Linked DNA regions of Oryctolagus cuniculus. The protein of the gene in region 1 purifies or fractionates together with the protein of each later gene. This does not show direct contact. Links are inferred from orthologs where the notes say so. Each region holds a gene or a part of one and is shown in the gene's direction. Other genes may lie near its edges. The genes, in order: CCNF, TARDBP, CDC6, RBX1, RRM2, CCP110 and SQSTM1.

Evidence for each region.
Region 2: the proteins of CCNF (region 1) and TARDBP purify together in Homo sapiens (affinity purification with western blotting; 3 studies listed by BioGRID, with this or other methods). This does not show direct contact. The link is inferred for Oryctolagus cuniculus from reciprocal best matches to the Homo sapiens genes CCNF and TARDBP.
Region 3: the proteins of CCNF (region 1) and CDC6 purify together in Homo sapiens (affinity purification with western blotting; 4 studies listed by BioGRID and IntAct, with this or other methods). This does not show direct contact. The link is inferred for Oryctolagus cuniculus from reciprocal best matches to the Homo sapiens genes CCNF and CDC6.
Region 4: the proteins of CCNF (region 1) and RBX1 purify together in Homo sapiens (affinity purification with western blotting, with the first as the bait; 4 studies listed by BioGRID). This does not show direct contact. The link is inferred for Oryctolagus cuniculus from reciprocal best matches to the Homo sapiens genes CCNF and RBX1.
Region 5: the proteins of CCNF (region 1) and RRM2 purify together in Homo sapiens (affinity purification with western blotting; 5 studies listed by BioGRID and IntAct, with this or other methods). This does not show direct contact. The link is inferred for Oryctolagus cuniculus from reciprocal best matches to the Homo sapiens genes CCNF and RRM2.
Region 6: the proteins of CCNF (region 1) and CCP110 purify together in Homo sapiens (affinity purification with western blotting; 7 studies listed by BioGRID and IntAct, with this or other methods). This does not show direct contact. The link is inferred for Oryctolagus cuniculus from reciprocal best matches to the Homo sapiens genes CCNF and CCP110.
Region 7: the proteins of CCNF (region 1) and SQSTM1 purify together in Homo sapiens (affinity purification with western blotting; 3 studies listed by BioGRID). This does not show direct contact. The link is inferred for Oryctolagus cuniculus from reciprocal best matches to the Homo sapiens genes CCNF and SQSTM1.

Annotation. Positions count from the first base shown.
Region 1 is NC_091450.1:32,852,905-32,856,644, reverse strand, and holds part of CCNF (cyclin-F), read left to right. Parts: intron 1-756; coding exon 757-824; intron 825-1,636; coding exon 1,637-1,830; intron 1,831-2,325; coding exon 2,326-2,379; intron 2,380-2,895; coding exon 2,896-3,000; intron 3,001-3,220; coding exon 3,221-3,298; intron 3,299-3,740. UniProt on the Homo sapiens protein: Substrate recognition component of a SCF (SKP1-CUL1-F-box protein) E3 ubiquitin-protein ligase complex which mediates the ubiquitination and subsequent proteasomal degradation of target proteins.
Region 2 is NC_091438.1:157,254,761-157,258,500, reverse strand, and holds part of TARDBP (TAR DNA-binding protein 43), read left to right. Parts: intron 1-844; coding exon 845-985; intron 986-1,859; coding exon 1,860-2,030; intron 2,031-2,367; coding exon 2,368-2,898; 3' UTR 2,899-3,740. UniProt on the Homo sapiens protein: RNA-binding protein that is involved in various steps of RNA biogenesis and processing.
Region 3 is NC_091448.1:22,169,665-22,173,404, reverse strand, and holds the end of CDC6 (cell division control protein 6 homolog), read left to right. Parts: intron 1-1,333; coding exon 1,334-1,536; intron 1,537-2,430; coding exon 2,431-2,571; intron 2,572-2,831; coding exon 2,832-2,921; 3' UTR 2,922-3,512; downstream 3,513-3,740. UniProt on the Homo sapiens protein: Involved in the initiation of DNA replication. Also participates in checkpoint controls that ensure DNA replication is completed before mitosis is initiated.
Region 4 is NC_091442.1:117,032,930-117,037,259, forward strand, and holds the start of RBX1 (E3 ubiquitin-protein ligase RBX1), read left to right. Parts: upstream 1-1,408; 5' UTR 1,409-1,647; coding exon 1,648-1,725; intron 1,726-3,527; coding exon 3,528-3,606; intron 3,607-4,330. UniProt on the Homo sapiens protein: E3 ubiquitin ligase component of multiple cullin-RING-based E3 ubiquitin-protein ligase (CRLs) complexes which mediate the ubiquitination and subsequent proteasomal degradation of target proteins, including proteins involved in cell cycle progression, signal transduction, transcription and transcription-coupled nucleotide excision repair.
Region 5 is NC_091433.1:192,177,314-192,180,028, reverse strand, and holds part of RRM2 (ribonucleoside-diphosphate reductase subunit M2), read left to right. Parts: intron 1-1,829; coding exon 1,830-1,924; intron 1,925-2,026; coding exon 2,027-2,160; intron 2,161-2,703; coding exon 2,704-2,715. UniProt on the Homo sapiens protein: Provides the precursors necessary for DNA synthesis. Catalyzes the biosynthesis of deoxyribonucleotides from the corresponding ribonucleotides. Inhibits Wnt signaling.
Region 6 is NC_091450.1:21,520,234-21,524,717, forward strand, and holds the start of CCP110 (centriolar coiled-coil protein of 110 kDa), read left to right. Parts: upstream 1-1,662; 5' UTR 1,663-1,883; intron 1,884-4,484.
Region 7 is NC_091437.1:67,652,874-67,657,224, reverse strand, and holds the start of SQSTM1 (sequestosome-1), read left to right. Parts: upstream 1-1,466; 5' UTR 1,467-1,827; coding exon 1,828-2,269; intron 2,270-4,351. UniProt on the Homo sapiens protein: Molecular adapter required for selective macroautophagy (aggrephagy) by acting as a bridge between polyubiquitinated proteins and autophagosomes.

The DNA of each region.
Region 1 (3,740 bases):
ACGGCCCCCGTCAGGCCCCTTGTCCCGGGCCCCGCCTCCTGCACTCCCTGAGCGTCCTCCGAGGCCGTCGACTCGCTCCCACGTGACAACACAAGTCGTCTGCGTGCTGAGATGTTTAGGTCTTTTCCTAAAGTCAGAGCCATGTGATTCAGTCTTAATGGGTTTTACTCACTGCTGATTCTGCCCGCTCACCATCCCCTCGCCAGTGTCCGCACTGGGCCCAGTGTCCACCTGGGCTCCCGTCAACCAAGTATCAGCACCCAGCCCACTGTCCTCACGGGCTGGGGCCGCCCTGGGGCACCCATCAACCAAGTGTCCGCACCGGGCCCACTGTCCTCATGGGCTGGGGCCGCCCCGGGGCTCCCGTCAACCAAGTGTCCGCACCGGGCCCACTGTCCACTTGGCCAGGGGCCACCCTGGAGCTGCCTTGTTGTGACAGACTAGGGGACCACAGCTGGGCGGTGTCCTGACTCGGTTGCCGTGCACTCCGGAGTTCATCCCCCGGCTGCGCAGCGCCCCTGTCTGACTGCAGGGCAGCCCCCTGCCCCGTGGACACTCGCGGCCCCTCTCCTCAGCCATCCCCGAAGCCCAGGCCGCCTCCTAGTCAGCTCTGTGTGTCTGGATTTGCCTGTCCCAGACGTCTGCATACATGTGGTCCTGTGTTCTCAACGTCCGTCTGCCGTAGGCTGATACGTGACTGTTGGGGAGGGGACGGCAGGTCTAGCTACAGCTGGATGCCGTGTGTTCCTGTTGCAGGGCTGCCGACAAGGGCAACTTCGAGGCTGCCGTGAAGCTGGGCATCGCCTACCTCTACAACGAAGGCCGTAAGTGCCGCCCGGTGCCGCCACGTGGGGTGCGTGTGAGGGACACGCCCGGCTGAGCCGCGTCCCTGCTGCGGCCGGGGTGTCCCTCGCTCTCCTCTCGGGAGCCTGTGCCCAGGGCCACCTGCTGTCATGTTGGTGAGCGGCCCGGGCACACCGCCTTCCCCGGGCTCCCTGCCCTCTGGCCGCCAACACCGAGGCGCCTGTCCTCAGCCGTCTGCTCTGTGCTCTGGGGCGGAGGCGTCCATGGCACCCAGGTGTCTGCAGCTGAAGTGGGAAGCCGGTCGAGGCCGGCCTCTGCCTGGACTCCTTCACCCCCGGAGGCCAGGCGCGCCCCTCTCAGGCCCTGTGCAGCCTTCTCTTGACCAGTCCCTGCCCACCCAGGAAGTGAGCCCAGGACACTAAGGACTAGGGTGCAGCCAGCTGTCCTGCTGCTTCTGAGAGTTCTGGGGTCTCGCTGAGGGTCCCTGCAGCAGGCGGGCTGGGCGCGCCCCGCCCATTGCCCCACTCCCAGCAGCAGCGGTCCCCACACCTTGCAGGGTGCAGTCCAGCGGGTTTAGCAGAATTGCACAGCCACCGCCACTGTCCCGGCCCCTGGGTCCTCCCTGGGAAGACCCTGGAAGATGGGCTTGCCACCTGCAGGGGGCGCTTTTCCCTGATCTTCAGAATTGAGGCTTCTGGACCCCTGAGGGAGCAGGGGAGGAGGAGGGGGCGGCGTGGAGGTTCCTCGACCCTCGTTCCTGCCACGTGTGGTGGCTCCGGAGGACTTTGCGCGCCCTGTCCCCGGAGACATGGCCGGGGTGTTCTGTCCACAGTGTCCGTGTCCGATGAGGCCCGCGCGGAAGTGAACGGCCTGAAGGCCTCGCACTTCTTCAGCCTGGCCGAGCGCCTGAACGTGGGCGCCGCTCCCTTCATCTGGCTCTTCATCCGCCCGCCGTGGTCCGTGTCTGGCAGCTGCTGCAAGGCCGTGGTTCACGAAAGCCTCAGGGCGGAATGCCAGCTGCAGAGAGTAAGTGCTGGCAGCCTGGGACCCGCGGGCCACGGGAAGCCCGGAGCCTAAGGCAGAGGGCGGTGCAGGATGTGGGGGCTGTCAGCTGTGCTGGCCCCAGTGCCAGGTGGGGGGACCTGGGTGTGGTCCGCAGAGGCCTCTCTGTCCTCCTCCTTTGATAGAATGTGGGGTATGGTCCACACAGGCCTCTCTGTCCTCCTCCTTTGATAGAACAGTGTAAGTTGTGTTTATCTGCGAGAGGCCCTAGTCATGTGTGTACTCTGCACACGCGCACAACTGCTGGTGCTGGTCCAGGCCGAAGCCTAGAGCCAGGAGCTCAGCCCGGGTCTCCCACGTGGGTGGCAGGGGACCCTCACCGTTGCCTCCCGGGGTGTGTGTGTTAGCGGGAAGCTGGAATGAGACCCAGAGCCGAGACTTGAACCCAGGCACTCCCGTGAGGGACGTGGGCGTCGTGGCTGCTGGGCCCAGCACCCACCCCGTCTCTTCTCTTTGCAGACTCACAGGGCGTCCATCCTGCACTGCGTGGGGAGAGTGCTCAGTCTGTTCGAGGTGAGTGAAGTGGCCACTGCACCGGCCTTTGCCGTGTCTGACGCGTCCGTGGCCGGCAGAACGAGAGGGCATCCAGGCCCGAGGTCAACACGGAAGCCCAGTCCACCCAGGAGACCCACGGAGCTGGGCAGCTCCTGGGCAGCAGTGGGGGAGGGGCGTGGCCGAGTGGCCGGGGAGGAGCTGAGCTCCCCGTGCTGCTGCCGTCTGGTGGCCTCCGTGGGACCCATGCTCCGCTTCCTCTGGGATCCGTGAGCCCCCCTGCAGCCGGCTTAGGGAAGATGGTGGCTGCCAGGGGCAGAGCCAGGAGCTGGAGCAGCCAGGGGCCTGCGGCTCCACCCTCTGGGCGGTGTGGCACAGTTCCTTTGGCAGCAGGCAGGGAGGCGGGTCTTGGGGTGGCCCGGGACCTCAGTGCGCTTCCCTTGGCTGTGGGGTCTGTTTCTGGGTGAGGCGGTGGGTGGGGGCTGCAGAGCGGCACACGCGGTGCAGGACTGGGAATCCGCCGCTCGGTTGTTCCAGGACGAAGAGAAGCAGCAGCAGGCTCGCGCCCTCTTTGAGGAGTCGGCTCTCCAGGGCTGCCTGGCCAGCTCGTACCTCCTCTGGGAAAGCGACCGGAGAGCAGACGTGAGTGGCCGGGTCTGTGGGGAGGCGTCGTGGTGGCCAGGGGCACGGCCTCCGCCCTGCCCTGGGACTAGGCCACCGCTCCTGGCCTCTAGGGCAGCTACCGTCCCGGAGGCCAGCGCGGTGGGGAGCCGTCTGGGTGTTGGGGACGTGGCAGCGCCCCGAGAGGGTTCCGGGTTGCTCCTAGGACAGCGCTTCACGGTTCCGTGACTTCTGTTGACAGATGTCTGACCCTGGCCGGTGCCTCCACAGCTTTCGGAAACTCAGGGACTGTGCCGCCAAAGGCTGCTGGGAAGCACAGGTGAGGCTGGTGCCTTCGTCTGCGGCCTGGGGCAGGAGACGCCGCGGGCTGGCGCCCCTGTGCGCCCAGGCTCTAAGCCCGCAGCGCCTTCCTTCTCTGGGCCACACCCGCTCACTGCCCACAGCCGGCCTGGCAGTGGGCAGCGCAGGGTCCTGTTCCCGCTGCGCCGTGCTCACCACGTCACCTAGCCTCAGGACCAGGAAACCCAGGGTTGTGGCTGTGTTCGCCCGACCCCCGCCCCTACAGCCGTGAAGCAGTCACAGTTCAGGGCGAACCTCAGAGCACATTCTTGCCGCCCACCCTGCAAACACTGGGGAAGGGAGGCGGAAGCCGCAGGTGGGTGGACAAGCCCCGGCGCGGCTCGGTGCTGGCTGTCCTGTTCCAGAGGTCGGCAGCACGGTGACCAGCGGAGCTCCAGCCCGAGCTGAAGGACCCCGAGACA
Region 2 (3,740 bases), on another chromosome or scaffold:
TTGAGTTTTTCCTTAAAAGATTTATTTATTTTACTTGAAAGAATTACACACACACACACACACACACAGAGAGAGAGAGAGAGAGAGAGAGAGAGAGAGGTCTTCCATCCGCTGGCTCACTCTCCAATTGGCCGTAGCGGCTGGAACTGCGCTGATCCAAAGCCAGGAGCTACTTCTGGGTCTCCCACGTGTGTGCAGGGGCCTTTAAGTGTTTAAAGGAACGGGAAATTTTTCTGCTTTTCCCATGTGATTAAGTTTGTAAACACTGACGACTGGCGTTGTGGCACAGCAGAACAGTGGGCTAAGCCGCTGCTTGGAATGTCAGCATCCCCTGTTGGAGTGTGGTTTCCAGTCCTGGCTGCTCCACTTCCAATCTTAGTAGGCCTGGGAAGGCGGCAGGTGGTGGCCCAAACACCTAGGTCCCTGCGGTCATGGGAGAGACCTGGAAGGAGGGCCTGGCTCATCCCCAGCTGCTGTGGCCATCTGGGGAGTGAACCAGTAGATAGAGTCTCTCTCTCTCTCTCTCTCTCTTTCTCTCTTTCTCTCTTTCTCTCTTTCTCTCTTTCTCTTGCTCTACCCTTCAGATATATTAAAAAATTTTTTTAAAGCTGGCACTTATTGTAAAACATTGTTAAAATTCTGTTGTGTCACTTGAGTTTTACTCTGTCCATTAACATGATCTGGATCCCTCTTGCTGCCTTTTATTTTCCTCAGTACTTAGCTTCATCGACATCCTAATTCAGCCACTGCGTTCATGGAAGCCGTTCAGTTTTCAGGAACTTTTGATTTAGGACTGCGAGTTTGAGTGCATGCGGATATTTTAGGAGTAAATTGTCTCTTCTAGGTCAAGAAAGATATTAAAACTGGCCATTCCAAAGGGTTTGGCTTTGTTCGTTTCACGGAGTATGAGACGCAGGTGAAAGTAATGTCCCAGCGGCACATGATAGATGGACGATGGTGCGACTGCAAACTTCCTAATTCTAAGGTACTTGGCTCTCCCTCTGTGGGTTGGGGATTTTTACTGACAGGCTTTCTTAGAAAGTGCTGTAAAATAAAACATTAAGTACAAGGGGGGTCTTTAACAAAATTGATGAAAGGTACGTATTTATGAAAAACAACTGAATTTTTTTAAATTTTTTGCTCCAGAATTTTTTTTTTAAGATTTACTTATTTACTTGCAAGTCAGAATTATACAGAGAGAGGAGGAGAGGCAGAGAGAGAGGTCTTCCATCTGCTGATTCACTCTCCACTTGGCCACAGCAGTTGGAGCTGTGCCAATCCGGGGAGCCGGGAGCTTCTTCCAGGTCTCCCGTGTGGGTACAGGGGCCCAAGGACGCTGGATCGGAAGTGGTGCAGCTGGGACTCAAATCAGTGCCCCTATGGGATGCCAGCACCTGCCACGCCACAGTGCCAGCCCCTCCAAGATATTTTAATTCCATTTTCCATTGACTTTGTTAAGTGCCCGCATATGCTTGGGAAAGGCAGTGGCAGGATGTGTTACAGCTTTTGCCTTGTAACTCTTCCAAACTGAAACTTTGCTCGCGTTATTCATGAGTTAATGTTTCCTGCACGGGTGTCTGTTGAAACGTGAAGACGTACAGCGTGTCATACGTTCACCTTGTTATGTAGGCCTGACAGAGCAGTCCTTGTTCAGAGCGTCGTCCCGTCAGGGCCATTCCTGTCGCTGGCTTTTCCCAGGTCCCGTCGCTTTCCTAACTCTGAAGTCTGGTCTTGAAGTCTTGCTGGAGGGAAAGGGCTGGTGGCTCCCTCGCAGGATCCCTCTGCTGTAACCAGACAGACTCTGCTGCTCTCCTCGCGCCCCCCAGCTCTGTCTGACCTCTCCCCTTTCCCTTGGCCAGCAAAGCCCCGACGAGCCCTTGAGAAGCAGGAAGGTGTTTGTGGGGCGCTGCACGGAGGACATGACTGCTGACGAGCTGCAGCAGTTCTTCTGCCAGTACGGGGAGGTGGTGGACGTGTTCATTCCCAAGCCCTTCCGAGCCTTCGCCTTCGTCACGTTTGCAGATGATCAGGTATTTTGCTTGGTGATGCGTCGCAGTGGACAGCCATCCTTAGCTACGCTTTCTGGGCTTGTACGGCAGCGGGATGTGTGGGCTTAGACACGTGTGAGACGAGCAGTGGGTAGCTTTCAGTATGTGCTGTTGGAGAGTATTACATGGTCTTGAAACAGAGTGAGATGCCCCCGCTCCGTGACTACAGCTAAATAAAGGCTGTGCTGCAGAACAGCTAGCGTCGTCGTATTTCTCTCCAGCGTGGATAAATTCTGCGTGCAATCTAGATTTTGTTTCTGCTTATTAGGTGTGTGTTCCGTGGCTTAATCTCCTTTGTCTGCACCCTTATTTCTTACAGGTTGCCCAGTCTCTTTGTGGAGAAGACTTGATCATTAAAGGAATAAGCGTCCATATATCCAATGCCGAACCTAAGCACAATAGCAATAGACAGTTAGAAAGAAGTGGAAGATTTGGTGGTAATCCAGGTGGCTTTGGGAATCAGGGTGGCTTTGGTAACAGTAGAGGGGGTGGAGCCGGCTTGGGGAACAATCAAGGTAGTAATATGGGTGGGGGGATGAACTTCGGTGCTTTCAGCATTAATCCAGCCATGATGGCTGCGGCGCAGGCGGCACTGCAGAGCAGCTGGGGGATGATGGGCATGTTAGCCAGTCAGCAGAGCCAGTCGGGGCCTTCGGGCAATAACCAGAGTCAGGGCAACATGCAGAGGGAGCCCAACCAGGCCTTTGGCTCTGGCAATAACTCCTACAGTGGCTCTAACTCGGGTGCAGCGATTGGTTGGGGATCGGCATCCAACGCAGGGTCAGGCAGTGGTTTTAACGGTGGCTTTGGCTCCAGCATGGATTCGAAGTCTTCTGGCTGGGGAATGTAGACCGTGGGCTGTGGTTGGTTGCTTAGAATGGTGGGAATTCAATTTTTTCTAAACTCATGGTAAGTATATTGTAAAATACATATGTACTAAGAATTTTCAAAATTGGTTTGTTCGGTGTGGAGTATATTCAGCAGTATTTTTGACATTTTTCTTTAGAAAAAAAGGAAGAGCTAAAGGAATTTTATAAGTTTTGTTACATAAAGGGTTGAAATATTGAGTGGTTGAAAGTTGAACTGCTGTTTGCCTGATTGGTAAACCAACACACTACAGTCGATATCGAAAGGTTTCTCCTGTAATCTCTTATCCCTGGACTTGTCAAGTGAATTCTTTGCATGTTCAAAGTGGAAACCATTGATTTAGAGCTACATTCTTTTCTCCTTGTTTTAATTTGAACCCCACCATACGGATTTTTTCCTTAGGAAAGTCTTCCTCTCGGGAGATGATGGTGTCACGCAGTGTTTGGTTCTTTCGGTTTTGTTTTTAACACTTGTCTCCCCTCATACAAAAGTACGATATGAAGCCTTCATTTAATCTCTGCAGTTCATCTCATTTCAAACGTTTATGGAAGAAGCACTTCGCTGAACGTAGTGCTGTAAACATTCTGCCATAGGAATACTTCTGTCTACAGCTTTCTCTTTCAAGAATTGGTCGTCACGCCGCGCGGGCTGCGTCTCTGACGGTGGGTGTCCCATTTTTATCCAGTACTCTTTATTTCATGGAGTCGTATCAACGCTGTGAACGCAAGGCTGTGATATGGAACCAGAAGGCTGTTTGAACTTTTGAAACCTTGTGTGGGATTGATGGTGGTGCCAAGGCATGAAAGGCTAGTATGAGCGAGGGAA
Region 3 (3,740 bases), on another chromosome or scaffold:
GATGGGCCCCTGCCAACCATGTAGAAGACCAGGATGGAGTTCCTGGCTACTGGCTTCGGCCTAGCGTAGAGCTGGCTGTTGTGGCCATTTGGGAAGTAAACTAGTGGATGGAAAATTGATATCCATACCCACACTCCCCACTTTCCAAATAATGTATACTTTTTGAAAACATCACAATGCTAAAAAGATATATAGGGATGTCGTAAGTTCCTGCCATAAAGTATTATATTAATTCTTTTCTTCTGGTATGTGAGATTGACTTTTAATGGCTTCAGAAAGCTATAGGGAGACTGACTTCAACTAAGTATAAGAAGAAATTTTCTGATAGGACCAACTAGGCTTCTTAACATAGTAGACTCATAGCCTTAAAGATAATCAGAGGAAAACTGCATCAATGATCACGTGTTGGGATTGTTTTAGAGGACACTCAGCTATTAGATAGGAAGTAAGAATAGACCTTAACATTACTTTCAATTTGTAAAATCTGTTACTTGATCTGTGATCTCTGGTTTCTCTATCAGTCCTCTGCAGCATTCCGTTTGTCGTCATGAAATAGAAGCAGATTACTGTGGGGCAACTGCAAATGGTCTCAGGAAGTAACTTTGGGCAAAGGTTGTTTGAGAGCAAATCCCTCCTCTGTCTTGCAATTTATGCATCTCCAAACAATGAGGCCATAGTCCTGTGTAGCTCATTGGCAGTTTCCCAACCTCTGGCTTTAGAGATGGTGCTATCTGCTAGGATATCCAATGACATTTTCTCAAGTGTTGCTGTGCTGCGGATCAGCTTGGGCAAGTGAACTAAACCTCAAAAGTCACTTGGGGAGGCCATCTGGAGGACTGATGTGGGATTTTTACTGTCCACATTTATCCACACATTTGCTTCAAAATACTCAGTATTTTGGAAGAAAGAATTTCCAGCTATTTTTCTTCCTTAATTACCAGGCACAGTCATCATCTTTGCTCCAAGGGTTCCCTTTTTACCTCTGAGGCATTAGAAACTTTCATGGTAGAATACAGTGGTTCTCTGTCTGATCCTTCCTCTTTCATGAGGTGGATTTTGTCTCCTTGACAAAATTACATTCCACAGGACAAAATAGCTCACTCTTCTACCCAGAGAAAGGATAACCCTACTTACCAAGTCATCCCACATTATTTTGGCATCTTGCTAAGGAGAGCATTGTCTCTCGTTGGTTGGCATCTAGTTAGAACCTCAGCTTTGCCACCACATGACTGCACTTGGATTTCCTTTAGCTAAAATTTAGTATCACCTGTCTCAACACACAAGCACATAATATTTTAAAAGTCAAATTAAGCTTAATTCATTTCCTTTATAGGTAAATCATCCTCTGAGTCTCCGGTTCCCAAGAGAGTTGGTCTTACTCACATATCCCAAGTCATTTCAGAAGTTGATGGTAATAGGATGACTTTGAGCCGAGAAGGAGCACAAGACTCCTTCCCTCTTCAGCAGAAGATTTTGGTGTGCTCTCTGCTGCTCCTGACCAGGCAGCTGAAAATCAAAGAGGTCACTCTGGGAAAGGTAAGTTGGGAATCTGCCACTGGAGCTGACATTGAGATGAGAATCTTCTCTGCAGAGCAGATGTTTTCCCAAAGTCCTATCATGCTCCAGCTGATAGGAATTAAAAATCGATTTTAATAGTAAGAATAAATACTGGTATTTAAAGATTTATTTTTATTTGAAAGAGTTACAGAGGGAGGTAGAGACAAAAGTCTTCCATCTTTGGTTTACTCCCCAAATGGCTGTAATGGCCGGAGCTAAGCTGATCAAAAGTCCGGAGCCAGGAGCCTCCTCCAGGTCTCCCATGTGGTGCAGGGGCCCAAGGACTTGGGCCATCTTCTACTGCTTCTCTAGGCCATAGCAGAGAGCTGGATTGGAAGAGGAACAGCCAGAACTAGAACTGGTGCCATATGATATGGTGCTTGAAGGCTGAAGGCTGAAGGTTGGGGCTTTATCCTACTGCTCCACAGCGCTGGCTGCACAGCTGGCCTTTAATAGCCATTAATCTGGCTGGCGCTGTGGCTCACTAGGCTAATCCTCCGCCTTGCGGCGCCGGCACCCCAGGTTCTAGTCCCAGTTGGGGCACCAGATTCTGTCCCGGTTGCCCCTCTTCCAGTCCAGCTCTCTGCTGTGGCCCGGGAATGCAGTGGAGGATGGCCCAAGTGCTTGGGCCCTGCACCCACATGGGAGACCAGGAGGAAGCACCTGGCTCCTGGCTTCAGATTGGCGCAACGTGCTGGCCATAGCGGCCATTTCGGGGATGAACCAATGGAAAGGAAGACCTTTCTCTCTGTCTCTCTCACTGTCTAACTCTGCCTGTCAATAAAAATTTTTTTTAAAAAAAGTAGATTATAATAAATTTTAAAAAAGAGATTTTTTTTTAAGCAACCTATGTTCTCCTGTGTTTCCTTCCAGTTGTATGAAGCTTACAGTAACGTCTGTCGCAAACAGCAGGTGGCAGCTGTGGATCAGTCAGAGTGTCTGTCACTTTCAGGGCTCTTGGAGGCCAGAGGCATTTTAGGATTAAAGAAAAATAAGGAAACCCGTTTCACAAAGGTACAACCAACTGCTTCTTTGTAATAATGCTTTCACTTGTCTTGTTCTAGAGAGCTTATCCTTTGCTAAAATAAGGATTTTAAAATGAGCACAATTAGATCGTTTGCTTTTTTGTTTGATAGGATTTTAGGTGTGTAAGGGACAAATGAGATAGTGCTTGTCTCAGTTGCCTCTTGTGAGAAGTTTTTTGTGGTAGAAGTTTGTGTAACAACTTTGGTTCTGTGAGTTCTCCATCATGAATCATGCTTTTCTTTTTCCAGGTGTCTTTGAAGATTGAAGAGAAGGAAATAGAGCATGCTCTGAAAGACAAAGCTTTAATGGGAAATATCTTAGCTACTGGATTGCCTTAAATTGTTCACTTACTGCACATCGGGCAGTATTCAGCTGGCATTTAGCGAAGGAGTCTTCGTTTTAGTACTTTATACACTCAGGTCTGAAAACAAATATGACCTTTTATACTTGAAACCAATGAATTTTAACCTATAGACTCATGAATATTAGCACAGAATAATATGTTTGGATCTTATTTTCACCCATAAAAATGACCACGTAGACCCTTTTCAATTACATCCAGTACCCTCTACCACTTGTGTGCCTCTAACCACTTGTATTTGCAGGTATGCAGATTTGTATGGTGGAATGCATATACACTTACCTATTACTTTCTTCAAACATTGATATATTATGTTAAGAACTTTGAAGTTAGGGTAAGAAGAATGGAAAGGAATGATCCTGAAAGCAAGACCACATGGTGATTTGGAGGACACTTTGACAAAGAATTTTTTGGGGGGGTATACTGTGTTCATGTTGCGGATTCTACCACATTGTGACATTTTAAAGACTCATTGTGTTTCTTGGGTACTCCGAAGCTTGAGGGACTGGTAAGGAGAATGTAACTCTGCAAATTGTGAATATATTTATTTTATTTTATTTATTTTCAAGTTGTAGTCTTAGTCTTTTTAAGCAATCACATTTCGAGAGAGCTCAAGCTTCCAGATGGCAATATGAAAATTCCTTCCCAAACTGTCCCACAGTCTTAGTTACTCTCAGATGAAACCTTTGTTTCAAGATGCCTTAGTCTGGGGTTGGATTTTCATCTGAACACATATTTTCCCAGCCTCATTAGATAAATTAATCCATGTGGATAGTCACAAGTTCTCTTCTGGGTT
Region 4 (4,330 bases), on another chromosome or scaffold:
GCCACGGCGCCGGCTCGATCGATTGATTTTAAAGGTAGTGTTACAGAGACAGGGAGAGATATTCCATCTCCTGGTTCACTCCCCAGATGGCCACAACACCCAGGGCTGGGGCAGTCCAAGCTAGGAGCCTGGAACTGCATCTGGGTCACCCATGTGGGTGGCAGGGCCACTAGCCCAGAGCTGGATCGGAAGTGGAGCAGCCGGGACTCCAACCTGCACCCACGTGGGATCCTCGCGTGGCAGGTGGCGGCTTAACCTGCTGTGCCACAAGGGTGGCGCAATACAGTTTATTGTTGTTACGATTTTTACTTATTGGAAGGTCGGAGTCAACTCTTCCATGGGCTGGTTCACTCCTCCGACGGCTGCAACGCCTGAGGAGCCAGGAATTCCAGGAACCCAAACACTCGGGCCACCTTCTGCTGCTTTCCAAGGCGCACTAGCAGGGAGCTGGATGGGAAGTGGAGCAGGCGGGACTCAACCCAGCACCCACGTGGCATGCGGCGTCACAGGTGGGGGGGGGTGCTAAGCGCGCGGCCACAATGCCCCCCAGTTAATTTGTTGGGTGATGGATAACCAGGGCCTCGGAAGCTCTGCCATGGGCTTCAGGAACTCCAGGAAGGGTCCGTAGGCACACATTAATTAACGGCAGCTTTACCCCAGACTCCTTAAAGCTTGGGCTAAGGAACTTCGTGGGGTTCCTGCGACCCCCTCGGGTCTCCCACAGTCTCACGGGGGGTCTGTCGTTCCTGTTTGGGATTAAGAAGGAAAACATTCCAAGTCCCTCCGGCTTCGCGTTGGAGGCCACGGCGCCAGATCGAGAGGCGAGAGGGGAGATTTCAAATAGACGGGAGGCGGGAGTGAGACCCCCACCCCGGGCGGTTACAGCCGTGGAAGCGAGGCCTGGTGCAGGCTTGGAGGGAGGTAGACCAGAAGACGGGGCGAGGCCAGCGGTGGCAGCCGCCTGCCTCACAAAGACGCGGGCCCTCCAGGCCGACCGGACTCGCCACTGGGGAGGACGTTCGGGGGTCTCCTCCTCTTGCCCGTCGAAGCCCTGGGCATTCCCCGAACGGGCATCGGGGAAGCCAGCCGGTGCCTGGTGGGCCCGACAGACCCCGGCCGCAGGCCTCGCAGGGTGACTGGCGCTGGGGCCTGGGCTCCGCAGCGGGACCAGGCCGGTCCGCAGAAGGTCAGTGTGGAGTCCCGCACCGCGGGGCGCCACCCCCGCCTCTTCCCCGCGCCCGGACCAGCAACGGTGCCGCGGCCTCGGCCAGGTTGGCGGCCGAGGCGGAGGAAGCAGCCGCCGCCGCCCCGGCCGAAGGCAGTGCGGCCCGGGGGCTTCCCGGGGAAGGGCGACGAGAGCGAGCCCTGTCGAACGTTTCCACTCGGCTCGCTGCAGGCGCCTCGGCCCCGCCCGGCCCCGCCCCGGCCCCTCCGGCCGCCGCCTCCTCCCCGGCCGACGTGAGGGGGGAGGCCTGCGCCAGCGCCTTTAAGAGGCGTGGCCATGGGCTCCGCCTCCATCTGCCCCTCGCGCGCCAGTCGGGGGAGGGGTGCGGGAGGAGGCGCCCGGGCGTCAGGGGGTGGGTGGGAAGCGAGGCGCGCGCTACTGCGCAGGCGCATTGGCCGGACTACAGATCGTGTGTTTCCAAAATGGCGGCAGCGATGGATGTGGATACCCCGAGCGGCACCAACAGCGGCGCGGGCAAGAAGCGCTTTGAAGTGAAAAAGGTTGGGTCTCGCCAGCGCCTTCCTCGGGGAAGCTAGAGAGGCGCGGATCTGGCTGGCAGGCCCTTGGATGACCGAGGCGCGGAGGAAAGGGCTTCAATTCAGGGCGTTCCTAGGACCGGGTACCACGAAAGGAAGCCGGGGGGCGGGCCTTAGCGTTGATCGGCGTGACGGCGGCCCACTGTCGAGCGCAATGTTGAGTTCGCTTTGAGGCTGAGGGGCCAATCACGGAGGTGCTTATTGAGATGCGCGGGGTTGCGACTGGGCTGCGGGAGCCAAGCGCCGGAGCTGTCACTGAAGCGGCTGAGGGGTGGGGGGAAGGACCGGGCGGGGTGGGTGGAAGGGGAGTCGGAGCGCTGCGGCGGGTGGAGGATGGGGTGGTGTGGCGAAAGCCGAGAACCTGAGCTCTTACCGCACTGGAGGCCTCTGAGGAGCCCGGCTGGTGACCTCCCCGCCCCGCCCCTGTCTGAAGCGTGGAGGGTCCCCGACTCGTCCCTCCGTTAGCCCCTCTCGGGCCCGGCCCCCGCCCGGAGTGTGCAGCTTGGCTCTTGGGGGGTCGTGTGTCGGCTTGTCACACAGCCGCCCCAGCCTTGTGGTGTCACGTCCAGAATCTCCCTCCAAAAGACATTTTTAAAAAAAAAATCATGGTGGAATTTGTTGAAAAGAAAATGTCCCAGTCTCGTGCCGTTCGCGGAGGATCGCGTGCTGGCTCCGAGCGGCCTGGCGGAGACGGGGGCAGGAACACATGTAGACGCGGCTTTTTCTTTTTCTTTTTGGCGTGAGGTCTGCCCCCTCACTGCTTTCCCCGAGCCGGCAGCTCTGGAGAAAAGTGTCGATTCCCACCTAAGGTGAAATAAATCTGGACAATGAAGGTTCCGACCTAGGGGAGCTGCGCTTCCTGGACCATCGTCCAGGCGCGGACGCCGGGCCCTCCGAGTGCGTTTCGGCGTCTCATTGTGGCCGCCGCTGCCCGCCTGCTGCCAGCAGCCATGTTGCGGACTCGGGGCTTCTCCAAGTTGGAGCTGAGGTGTGGAGAGTGCTGGCGAAGTTCCTAGACCTGAGAGCTGGCCTGGAAGGAGATGAAGGCTTGGGTGGCGGCGCCAGACAGTGGGTGAAAGGGGAGTTTGGAAGTTGTTTCTCATAATTTTTTTAAGATAAATCCTTACTGGAATTTACTACATGTTAGAGTTGCAACATACGAAAGTTGAGAACATCAGCTTATTTGATAAGAACGAAAGATTCTAGTAAATTCTGCCGTTTGGAAGTGACGGCGTGAGGTTCAAGCGATGACCTTGTTCTGGGTACCCACCCTGGGTCACCAGTTATCCAGCTTATCCCACGATTACCCACGTTATTATCCAGTCATCGTCTTAGTTCATCCTGTCCCTAGCGTTCACCTCCCGCTCCTGATGTTTATGCAGATTTTGAGCCCTGCAGCTGCCAGAAAAACCTTCACAGGAATTCAAGTTTGTGCTTATTAATCCTAAAGCAGGCACTGAAAAACTATTCCTAACTTGGCCTACATTGATATGACTGACTAAATTATTTTAAACTGTAGGGAAAAGAAATAAAAAAGGTGACTCATTCATTTCTGTATTCCTATACCAAACCTTTGGAGAATGGGCCAGCCTACATATAGCTTCCAGTTGTCCCCTAATATAATAAATGAGAATAATGTAACATCCAAAAACTCTTTTGTCTGGTGGTCCCTGTGGCCCAGGTGGGTAACTGCAGCTGCAGCAGGAAGCGCGTGTGTGCGTGACATTACAAGGAGAGCGCATTGTTCCCCCTTTTTCTCTTTGCAGTGGAATGCAGTAGCCCTCTGGGCCTGGGATATTGTGGTTGATAACTGTGCCATCTGCAGGAACCACATTATGGATCTCTGTAAGTAACTGGAGGAGGGTGGGAGGAGGTTGAGAGGCTACAGGGATTGTGGCCATCCTGAAGTGGCCAGTTTCCTTCCTCACCAGGAGACACAAAGCACAGCATGTGTGAGGCCTTTTGTGTTTAGTCCACTGGGGTGTTGGAAGGAAAGTAGTTTTTTCTGAAGTCCTACATGCATACCCAGCTCTTGGAATAAGTCCACTCCACACAATCTTAAGGATGGCAAGGACGCTTTTAGAGTGAATTTTGGACACAGAGATGCTGTGTACTCTTCTGTATCTCCCGTCTCATACTCAGAACTCCAAGGCAGACATAGTGAATGGAAGAAAGTAAACTCTGACCTAAAATATCCTACATGAGCTAATTTTTGCTGGGCGAGATTTACACTCCGCCCTATCTGTGGGGTCAGACAACTGCGGATCAGAAATACATATGCGTTTTTTAATGTCTGTACTGGACAAATATATCCTTTTTTTCCTTGTCATTATTCACTAACCCATACAGCTTCGCAATTGTTTACATAGCATTTACATTGTATTAGGCATTGTAAGTTACCTGGAGATGAACTAAAATAAATGGAAGGTTGTGTGGAGCAGCCAAGTCATGAACCAGTGTCCATAAGGGATGCTGGTGCCCTGGATTGAGAATTTTTTTGGGTGGCCGGTGCTGTGGCGCAGTGGATTAATGCCCTGGCCTGAAGCACCAGCATCCCATATGGGTACCG
Region 5 (2,715 bases), on another chromosome or scaffold:
TTGAGGTTTTTTTTTTTTTCTTTTTTTTTTTTTTTTAAGATTTATTTGAGGCCGGCGCTGCGGCTCACTAGGCTAATCCTCCGCCTAGCGGCGCCGGCACCCCGGATTCTAGTCCTGGTCGGGGCGCCGGATTCTGTCCCGGTTGCCCCTCTTCCAGGCCAGCTCTCTGCTGTGGCCCGGGAGTGCAGTGGAGGATGGCCCAGGTGCTTGGGCCCTGCACCCCATGGGAGACCAGGAGAAGCACCTGGCTCCTGGCTCCTGCCATTGGATCAGCGCGGTGCGCCGGCCGCAGCGCGCCAGCCGCGGCGGCCATTGGAGGGTGAACCAACGGCAAAGGAAGACCTTTCTGTCTCTCTCTCTCACTGTCCACTCTGCCTGTCAAAAAAAAAAAAAAAAAAAAGATTTATTTGAAAGGCAAGATTACAGAGAGACCACAAGAGATCTTCAGCTGCTGGTTCATTCCCCAAATATCTGCAATGGCTAGGACTGGGCCAGACCCAAGCCAGGAGCTTCTCCCAGGTCTCCCAACATGGGTGCCGGGGCCCAAACACTTGGGTGGTCTGCTGCTGCTTCCCCAGGCACATTAGCTGGGAGCTGGATTGGAAGTGGAGCAGCCAAGACTCAAGCCTATGCCCATATGGGTGCTGGTGTCACAGGCTAAGGCTTTGCCTGCTCTGCCACAACACTGGCCCCAAATATTGAGTTTTTTTTTTACAGGCAGAGTGGACACTGAGAGACAGAAAGGTCTTCCTTTTTGCCGTTGGTTCACCCTCCAATGGCTGCCGCGGCCGGCGCGCTGTGCTGATTCGAAGGCAGGAGCCAGGTGCTTCTGGTCTCCCATGGGGTGCAGGGCCCAAGGAGTTTTGGGCCATCCTCCACTGCACTCCCAGGCCATAGCAGAGAGCTGGCCTGGAAGGGGGGCAACCGGGACAGAATCCGGTGCCCCAACCGGGACTAGAACCCGGTGTGTCGGCGCCGCTAGGTGGAGGATTAGCCTATTGAGCCGCGGCACTGGCTTGTTTTTTTGTTTTTAAGATTTATTTATTTATTGGAGCGGCAGAGAGATCTTCCATCCGCTGGTTCACTCCCCAATTGGCCGCAACAGCCGGAGCTGTGCTGATCTGAAGCCAGGAGCTTCTTCCAGGTTTCCCACACAGTGCAGGGGCCCAGCCAGGACTTGGGCCATCTTCTACTGCTTTCCCAGGCCAGAGCAGAGAGCTGGATCTGAAGAGGAGCAGCCGGGACTAGAACCGGCGCCCATATGGGACGCCTTCGCTTCATGCCAGGGCATTAATCCGCTGTGCCACAGTGCCGACCCTCAAATATTGAGATTTTTAGAAGTAATCATTCAGGGGCCAATGCTGTGGCACAGCCGGTTAAGCTGTGGCCTGCAGTGCCGGGATCCCATATAGGTGTTGGTTCAAGCCCTGACTGCTCCACCTCCAGTCCAGCTCTGCTGTGGCCTGGGAAAGCAGCGAAGGATGGCCCAGGTACTTGGGTCCCTGCACCCTCGTGGGAGACCCAGAAGAAGCTCCTGGCTCCAGGCTTTGGCCTGGCACAGTCCTGGCCATTGCAGCCATTTGGGGAGTGAACTGGTGGATGGGCGATCTCAACCTCTACCATCTCTCCTCTATAACTCTGCCTGTCAACTCTTTTTAAAAGTAATATTCAAGGGAAAAGCTAAATAGTGAAAAGAAAACAGTTCACTCTGAGTTCTTTTGGGGAGAGAGCTGACAGATAGTTGAACTTGGCTTTCAATCCGGTGCTGTTAGAAGTTTTGGGAATTGGAGGTCTTTGACCTAAATACTGATGCTGTCTACGCCTCCTAGGGAATTTCTCTTTAATGCCATTGAGACGATGCCTTGTGTCAAGAAGAAGGCGGATTGGGCCTTGCGTTGGATTGGGGACAAAGAGGCGACCTACGGTAAGCTTGCCCGTGGCCACCTTAGACCAGAGCGCGTGTTCCCGGTAATGACACTGCGGGTTTCCCTGGGAATGCCGTGACTCACTGGAAACTCTCGGACAGGAGAACGCGTCGTAGCCTTTGCTGCGGTGGAAGGCATCTTCTTCTCTGGTTCTTTTGCGTCGATTTTCTGGCTCAAGAAACGAGGACTGATGCCCGGGCTTACGTTCTCCAATGAACTTATTAGCAGGGATGAGGTGAGTCCAGTCTCAGGCTGCACCCTGAACACCTGCGGTTCTGAGAGGCACACAGGTCTCATGGCTCCATATCCACGTTTGTTTATTTCCTGTTTATTAAGATTTACTTATTTGAAGGGCAGAGTTAGAGAGGTCTTCCATCTGCTGATTTAACTTCCCGGTGTCTGCTGGGGCCGGGCCAGGTCAAAACCAGGACTCAGAACTCTGGTCTCCCGTGTGAGTGCAGGGGCCCCAGAACTTAGGCACCTGCTGCTGCCTTCCCAGGCGCACTAGCAGGAACTGGAGCAGAAGCGGAGCAGCCAGGACAAGCTGGTGCCCATATGGGATGCCGGTGTTGCAGCCAGCGGGTTAACCCCGTGCACGGCAGTGCCGGCCCATGTCCACATACATATTCAGCAAAAAATGAAGCCCTTTAACTTGCTGACATGTGTTCCCTATATTTATACATGCGTGTTGCTCTTCAGGCTGGACTGTAAAACTCCGTTCCGCTCTGGTAGGGGTCTTCTGGCTTCAGAGTGGTCTTGAGTTTAATTTCTTCCCCAGGGTTTGCACTGC
Region 6 (4,484 bases), about 11 Mb from region 1:
GTTCACTCCTAAATGACTGCAACAGTCAGGACTGGGCCAGGCTGGAGCCAGGAGCCAAGATTTCCAACCCTGTCTCCCACGTGGCTGCAGCGACCCACGTACCTGGGCCATCTTCTGCTGCTTTCCCAGGTGCATTAGCAGGGAGCTGGATTGGAAGTGCAGCAGCCAGGACTTGACCTGGTGCTCTTATGGGCTGTCGGTGTTGCAGGCAGCGCCCTTACCCTATGTCAGCATGCCGATCCCAGTGGTAAGGAAACCAAGGAGAGGCAAAGAATGGGGTGGGTAATGGCAGGGTCAGGGCTAACATGAAGCCAGTGGCTTGTGACTTTTCCACTGCCACCCTCCTAATCTTATTTTTCCTACTACTAAAGGTTAATGTACCAGGCGCTGGGAGAGTTATCTGAGTTGTGCTTTGCAACCACCCTGTGATAGCAGTTCTAACCTTTCCCTTTTATAGAGTCAAAGACAAGCACCAGAAAGAGGAACAGAGACCCAAGGGGAAGCCTACTCAGGGAATGGAGAGAGGCTGCTAAATCATATTTTGAATGGCTGGTGACACATTTTTCCTTTTTCTTTAAGATTTACTTATTTATTTGAAAGGCAAGTTACAGGGAGAGACAGAGAGAGAGAAAGTGAGTGAGCGAGAGAGATCTTCTATCCACTTGCTTACTCCCCAGATGTCTGCTATAATGGGCTGGGTTGGGCCAAAGCCAAGAGCCAGGAGCTTCATCCAGGTCTCCCATAGGGGTACGGGGGCCCAAGCACTTGGGCCATCCTCTGGCTGTTTTTCCCAGGTGCATCATCATGGCTCTAGATCAGAAGTGGGGCATCTGGGACGAGAACTGGCACTCATATGGGATGGTAGCATTGCAGGCAGTGGCTCCACCTGCTATGTCACCACGCCGTCTTCTGTGACTTTTCAATAGACAATTTTGGTAAAACATTCAGAGAATTTTCTTCCATCTTGAATCTGTTACCTGTTTCTCTTGGACAAACCTTCTCATTGGAATTCAAAAGCGTATGGATTATCTTAAGGCTTCCAATTGGCTTCTATGATTTAGTAAATTTTTATGTACAGAGCAAAAACATTGCTGAGGGGCTGGCATTTGGTGCAGCCCCAAAGACACTGCTTGGGATGCTTCCACCCCATGTCAGAGTGCCTGGGTTGGAGTCCCCGATCTGCTTCTGTCCCAGCTTCCTGCTAATGGGCACCCTTGAGAATGGACAGGTGGACTCAAGTACTTGTCCCTGCCACCCTGCGGGAGACCCCCAAGGAGTTCTGGGATCCTGGCTTCAGCCAGGGTGTTGCGGGCATTTGAGGAGATCTGTCTCTGTTTCTGCCTTTCAAATAAAATACATATATTTTAAAATATTTGTGAATGATATGTTTTCCAGCGACCACACAGGGAGAGGTAATAGCTATAAAAATAAGAAGAAAAATGGCAGCTTTATGGAACACTTTAGGGGCTTCAGACCCCAACCAGAGTTCTGGTTATAGAAAAATTGTAATTCTAGAAGGGCGGTGTAGCAGGGAAGACTACATTTCCCAGGATGCATTCCGCTCGCCGCAAGCACACGCCCTTGGTCAGGGGTGCGCAGTGCATCTCGGGGACTGTAGTTTTCTGGAGCCCAACCGTTCCAACTGCCCGCGAAGCCACTACCGGAAGTGCCCGCCCTGAGAGGTGGAGTCTAGGTGGCGGCAGCGGCGGCGGTTGCCAGGAGCCCGCGTTGTCGCTTCTGAGACCCGTAATATGGCGGGGAGGAGGAGGCGAAGGCGGCGGCGGACCGAACTGTGCTCTGTCAGTACAAGTTGAGCCATTTGCTTCCTGCCTGACAAGGCTCGTGGCGAAGGGAGAAAGTCTGAGGGGGCCGTGGGGCATCAGGTTTGTGCGTGAGGAGGGGGCAGGACCCTCGGCGGGTGGCCGGGGAGAGGCGAGCGGGAGAGGCGGAATTGGCGCCCTGAGGTGCCGAGGGCGGGCTGTGTGCCGGCTCCTGGGCCTCGAGCCCCTGGAAGGGCGCCGGGCGTGGGGAGGCGGGGGCCCGAGGCCGGTGGTGCTGGGATGCGATGCTCGGATGCCGGCCGCACGCAGCGGGCTCCATGTCCGAGGAGCCGGCTGCAGGGTGCGGCGTGCAGGGCAGAAGGGCGCCCGAGGCCGGAGAGCCCCGTTCGGGGGTCGAAGCTGGGGGTGTTTTCCCCCGTCTCCGTCCCGGGCTGTGCCCGGCCCTTTCGAAACCGGCGACCTGGGAGCGCCGTTTGCCTCGCCTCTGCGATTCCGGGGTGGAAGCATGGCGAATCCTCTGGATCGCCCCTGATGCTGCTGGTTGGTTCCCAGCCTTTGCTTCTTATCCGGTGATCACCCCAGCCCCCTACCCCTGTTTGTGCACGTGGCAGCCGGCTAGGGATTGCCCTGGTGGGAAGGGGTCTGCGCACGGCGCGATGAACAAGCAGTCCCGTGTTTTCCAGTCACATTTGCATCCTACCAGGAACCCAGCACTGTCACTGCCAGCCCTCTCCCCCTCTCTCCTTGGAGTTCCTAGTCTCTTGCTACAAATCATCACTGGCATTCTCTTCTTCACAATGCGTGGACGATTTCTGTGTGCCCTGTGTATGCTAAGTGCATTCGCTCCTTGGATTCTCACGAACTACCTGTGAGACAGGTGTCCCCATGACCCGCACTTTACAGAGGAGGAAGATGAGCTGGAGGACAGTCGCTGGCTCACCAAGAACGCCCAGCCAGGGTGTGCCCGAATGTCACATCTTCCTCCTGGCGTCTCGCTCTGCGTGTGTGTGCTGCCCGGGTGAGGCGCGTTCTACATTTGTTATGCCCTCCCCCCCCCCCCCCACCAGATTAAAAAGAAGAAATGCCGCTGACTGCTGCTACAGGAATTTTATGCTGGCGGGGGTCCTGATGGGTACCCAGTCAGCTCGCTTCTGCCCACAAGGCCGGATCTTGGCCGTGTTATTTTTGTCACTCTCTGCGGTGACAGTTTTGGCTGGTAAGGAGCAGATAGGACCCTGAGTTCCTTGGGTTTGTCAAGAGGCTCATTTGAATAAGGCTCAGCAGAACTCTGGCTCATAAGCAAAGAAGAGGAGGCACACAGCCGACGTTATTCCTGGCTGTGGACCGGCAGTGCCTTGTGGTTGGATTGGCCTCGTAGCCAAGGCTCTGTGGAAGTAAAACCTGGCAGCAGAGGGATTGTGGTAGAGAAACAGTGCCTGTGCCCCACGCCACGCGGGATGCAGACGGCTCACTTTGTAAGTGGCTCCCTTTGCAGCTCACAGAGAGCCGGGTCAGCAGGGAAACTTCGTTCTCTGGACTCCATCCTTCCTTGCTAGCTCTTTTGCTGTGTCGCCCACCCTCTTCCTTTCCCTGGCTTACCTTACTGTTGGAGGGAATCAGCTGATTCATGTATTCACCGTTCTTTACTGAGTGCCAGCTGCGTGCCCGCGTTGTTCTGTGCAGTGGGGATGCAGCGGACAAGGCTGCGAAGGTACCGGCGCTCACATGGCTTACGTTTTAGCGGAGGCAGACAGACAAAACCAGAGAAAGACAAGAGAATTTCAGAGAGTGCTAAGTCCGAAGACTGGAAGACAGCAGGGTAACGGGGTAGTGGCTGAGGCAGGGTAAATTTAGAAGGGCGCTCAGGGCTGGTCCTTGTGAGGAGGTGGCACCTGAGCTGAGACCAGAGGCAGGAGGGATCCCGCTGTGGCCCGGGATCAGCTTGCAGTTTCTGTGACCTCCATATCAGCACTCATACTTGAATAGTTGAAGCATTGTTGCATGCTGTATGTTATGCTACAATAATAATAATACCAGCGTATTGCTTGTGAAGATATGTCACAGGTTTATGGGAAGGTGGAGCTAAAAGACAAGGTTATTTTGTTAGAAAAAAACTTTAAAAGCATATCTTACTTATTTCAGAGGCAGACACACACACACACACACAGATCAAGATATTCTCTGTCTGTTAGTTCACTCCCCAAATGCTTGTGGCAGCCGGGACTGGGCCTGGCCAAAGCCAGGAGTGGGAACTCAGTCCAGGTCTCCCACATGGGTGGCAGGATTGCAATTACTCGAGCCCAGCCGTAGCCCCTGCCTCCCACAGTTTGCGTTAGCAGGAAGCTGGAGCCTGGAGCTGGGGCCAGGTATGGAGCCCAGGTGCTCCCGTTGGGGACGCAAGTGTCTTGATTAACAGCTGGGCCAAATGCCTGCCCCTGGTGCAGAAAGCTTCTGCAACCCATGCGTAGGTTTTTCATTCTATGCATTTCCCACAGATTTTTTGAAGACTGCTCATCCATCTGCAATTTGTAGTATATACATTTGCTATTTAAAGAATGTAAATAACCTTCTGAAACAATGAAGCATCTGTGATGTTGAAAGAAAAATAAAGCTGTTGCCATGGAAGTATTTTATTTCCTTAAACTTCCCAGATCTTTAAAATTGAATTTTGTGCTCGTGTATTTATAGAAAGTATAGCACATG
Region 7 (4,351 bases), on another chromosome or scaffold:
GGGGCCAGCAGGCCCAGGGACACTTTCCCAAGGCTCACAGCGGCAGGGATCATGGACCAGCCTCTCCAAGGCTGCTCCTGGCACGGGAGCCTGGCTGGCTTCGCTGGGCAGGATCCCGTTACTCCTGTGGCCTGGCCACCTGTGCATCTGCCTAACCCCCATCCAACCAGCCCACCCTCATCGCTGGGCTTCCCAAGCTGCTCCCACAAACTTGACCTGAAAGGGGGGGGGTTTGACCCAACAGGGCTGACTCTTAGTCACAGGACCTGCCTGGGAGGTCTGGGGGGGGGGGTGACACACCTCCCTTCCCAGCGCCTTCCCCCAGGCCTTGCAGACAGGTCACTTTGGTCCCAGGAAGCAGAGTTTCTGGATTCCCAGCTGAAAGGTGACTGGTCCCATCCCCTTGGCCGCCCTTGTGGCCAACACTCTTGAGGCCCTACAGGCAGGCACCTGCTGCATTGGCCCCCTGCCCTGACAGGTCTGTTAGGCAGCCTGCATCTGTGAGAGGGAAGAAATGGGAATTTGTGTGGCTGGGTGAGGGAAGAACCACAGAAGCAAGCCTGGGAAGCAGAGCAGTATTTACATCTCAAAAGTCTTAGTTTCAGGTGGGGCCAGTGCTGTGGCGCAGCAGCTGAGCCTTCACCTGCAGCGCCGCATCCCATTTGGGCACCGGTTGTGTCCCGACTGCTCCTCTTCTGATCCAGCTCTCTGCTATGACCTGGGAAAGCAGTGGAGGATGGCCCAAGTCCTTGGGACCCTGCACCCACGTGGGAGACCTGGAAGGAACTCCTGGCTTCGAAGTAGTTCAACTCTGGCTGTTGCAGCCATTTGGGGAGTGAACCAGCAGAGGGAAGACCTCTCTCTTTATCCAAAACTCTGCCTGTAAAATAAATAAACACATTTTTAAAAAAAGAGCCTTGGTCTCCTTCTATAACCTTGTTGAGTGGGTCCCAGCCTTTTCCCAGGGGCAGCTTAGAGAAATCCCTGCCCTGCATTGGGGGGGTGTGTGTGTGTGTGTGTGGCTATTAGGTCCAATAATACTGCTGATGAAGTTCTGGGAGGAATTTCAGGAATTCCACACTCTGGAAGCCCTTCCCCCAGACGTGTCCCAGAAGGGGAGGGGAGGGGAGAGGAGAAAGAGGGCTATACCCGTATCCATAGAAACCCCAGTCTGAAAGCAGGTGGGTTCAGCTCTTGATGGAGATGCCCGCCTACTCTGTCAGGTGCATTCTTTTCATCAGACTTGGCCAGCACGCTTGCTGCTATTCTGTCCCATGGCTGAAGTTCTTGTGCTAAAACAAGGACCCCTGATCAACCATTCCTGGTGATGGTGAGGAAGGGCCTGGGGCGTCAGGCTCAGCCTGCTGGGCTCACAGGGCTGGGGGCGTCCATGTGTCTTTTTGAGCTGCAGTCAGCACTTGGTGACTGACTGCCGTCGCTAGTGGACGAGCCGGCCAGCCGGCCCTGGACAGCTAGGGACGCTCATGCAGGAGGCTGTGGTTGGTGTAGGGCTGCCTTCTGGGGGTCACGCATGGCAGGGCAGCAGGGTACCCTAGCAGCCAGCTGGTTCCGGCTGGTGGTGCCCACTGGGCAGCCTAGATGCCTCCTGGGATAGAGGGCTCTGTGTGTCCTCCTCTGTCCTGTGCTGGGCAACCCCTGCTGATGACCAGGGACCTGCTCTGCTGAGTCACAGCCAGGCCCAAGCCGGAGAGGGGCCTCGGACAGGACCCCAGCCCATTCCTTTCAGGAGGTACAGATGCTGAGGCCTGCTCTGGGGGTCTCCGGTGCCCTGGGGGCAATGAGGGGACAGACTGAGAGCGGTAGACCATGTCAAAGGGCAGCGGGGAGAGGGGCAAGCAGGCACGGGGCCCTGGCAGGGAGACTCGCGAGAGGCGGCCCCGGCGGTGGGGGGCGGCACCCGAAGAGTGCAGGCTCCGCCCCCAGGAGTCCACGTCGGGCGGGGCTTCCGCGTGCCCTACAAAAGCCACGCGCCACTGGCGCCACCGCCGCCGCCTCCTCCGGTGCTCCCTCGGTTGCGCAGCTGCTCGTCGTTCTCCGGCTGCGATGGCGTCGCTCACCGTGAAGGCCTACCTCCTGGGCAAAGAGGAGGCGGCGCGCGAGATCCGCCGCTTTAGCTTCTGCTTCAGCCCGGAGCCGGAGGCCGAGGCCGAAGCAGCGGCCGGCCCCGGGCCCTGCGAGCGGCTGTTGGCCCGGGTGGCCGCTCTGTTCCCGGCGCTGCGGCCCGGCGGCTTCCAGGCGCACTACCGCGGTGAGCGGGCCGGGGGGTGGCCGGGGTCCGGGGCTGCCCTTTCCTAGTCGGTGCCGGCTGCGTCGGAAGGGATGCTGTGCTGGTCGCGCTCTGGGTGAGCGGTGACCTGCGCGTACCCCACTTGCACCTCGGGTGCCAGCCCAGTGACCCAGGCCCTGTCCCTCAGGGGCCGAGGCGATCAGGCCCCGCGGGCTGGGGACTTTGGGTCGTTAGATGCTTCCTGTTCCCCGCCATAATGTTGCAGATCTCGCCAAGGACGCGCCGGGGCGTCCTCTCTGGCCCTGGGCTGAGAAGGTGGTCAGGCGGGCACTCGGGTTACACTGACATCTTGCTGCTGCCGGGGCTGGGCCCGCCGGCGCCAGGTTTGCGTTCAGCGAGCCCTGAAAGTGGGTGGTGGGCGTGGGCGGCTGGGGGACGCAGGGCCCTTGAGCCCGGGGTAGGCCGCAGGTCGCCCAGGGACAAGGCAGTGGGGAGACGGCCGATGTCGAAACGTTCTCCACAAACTCAGAGTGGGGACAAGCCCGGAGCCACCGCTCTTTCTGGCTGCGCTGCTCAGACCGGTAGCTGCTGCTGGGGGTGGGGTCCCGGGACAGCAGTGTGGGAGGGAGGTCCTCGGCCAAGGCCCGCCCCTGGGAGGGAGCAGGGCTGGGACCGCCCTCAGTAGCTTGCCCAGCATTTTTTTTTTTTTTAATTTCCTGGTGACAATTTTATTGAGCTGTAATTCACATACCATAAAATTTACTCATTTAAAGTATATAATTCAAGGGTTTAAAATTTTATTTCATTTTGAAAGGGCAGAGAGACACATACACACACACCCCAACCTACCATCTGCTGGTTCACTCCCCAATGGCTACAGCTGCCAGCCCCAGCCAGGCCAGGAGCCTGAACTCCATCAGTGTCTCCCAGGAGGGTAGCAGCAACCCAGGCACTTGAACCATCCTTTGCTGCCTCCTCCAGTGCACATTAGCAGGAAACGGGATCAGAAGTGGAGTGGCCTGGACTCCAACCAGGCACTTTCATATGGGCTGCCAGTGTTCCGGGCTGCCAGTTAGCCGCTGCAGAAATGCCTGCCCCGATGCAGTGGTCTTTAACACATTCACCAGTTGGAACTTCTGAGCAGACTTGGGGCTGGAGAGCGGGGCCAGGCGCTGGCAGTCAGCATGAGAACCCCTTCCTCTCCACTGGAACCCCATGCCTTTTACCTGTCTCCCTCAGCTCCTGCAACGCTGAGCTGCTTTCTCTCCTGGGCGTCCTCTTCTGGACAGTGGTGGAGAGGGGGTTGTACAGTTTAGCTTTGTGTCTGGCTTCTTTCCTTAGGGAAATGCGTTCAGGTTCATCAGAGGTGTAGGCTGCATCTGTATTCGTTTCTTTTGTGGATATGCCATATCGTGTTTGTGTCATTAGTTGATGGACTTTTGGGTTGTTTCGCAAAAGTGCCACTCTTGCTCTGAGGGTAGATGTTGCCCTCTGGTGCCCAAGTCCAGGCCCCGCCTGCAGCCTGTGCACGGTGCGGTCTGGTCTGGTCTGTGTGGCAATGCTTTAAAATCACGGAAGCCAACATAGAAGGACTCAGCCTTTTTTCTTCGTTGGAGAAAGCAGCAGGCCTCTGGGCTCATCTCCACTTAAACATTGCAGACAGCCCAGAGCCTTTGGCGGGCTGGGCCTCTGAGGGACAGGGCACTGTTATTGTCCGTGTAGTGTACGCGGAAACTTTGCCTTTTAGGTGTGACCGTGGCCCAGGTTCAGGCCCAGGCGGGCACACTTCCTGTCCAGTGAATGGGCAGGCTCCCTTCTTATCCCCGATCTGTCCAGCCCCACCCCTAAAGAAGTGGCCTTGGTGGGCATCAGGCCTAGTGGTTAGTTCACCCATTAAGATACCTGGGGCCCGTGTTGGATCCCAGCTCCCGACTCCAGCTTCCTGCCAGGACAGATGCTGGCAGGGGGTAGGTGAAAGTTCAAGTAATTGGGTCCTCACCTCCTACATGGGAGCCCTGGATTGAGTTCCTGGCTTCTGCCCAGCCCAGTCCCGGCCCTTGATAGGAGCTCTGCTTGTCTACCATGTCTCAAAAATAAATAAGA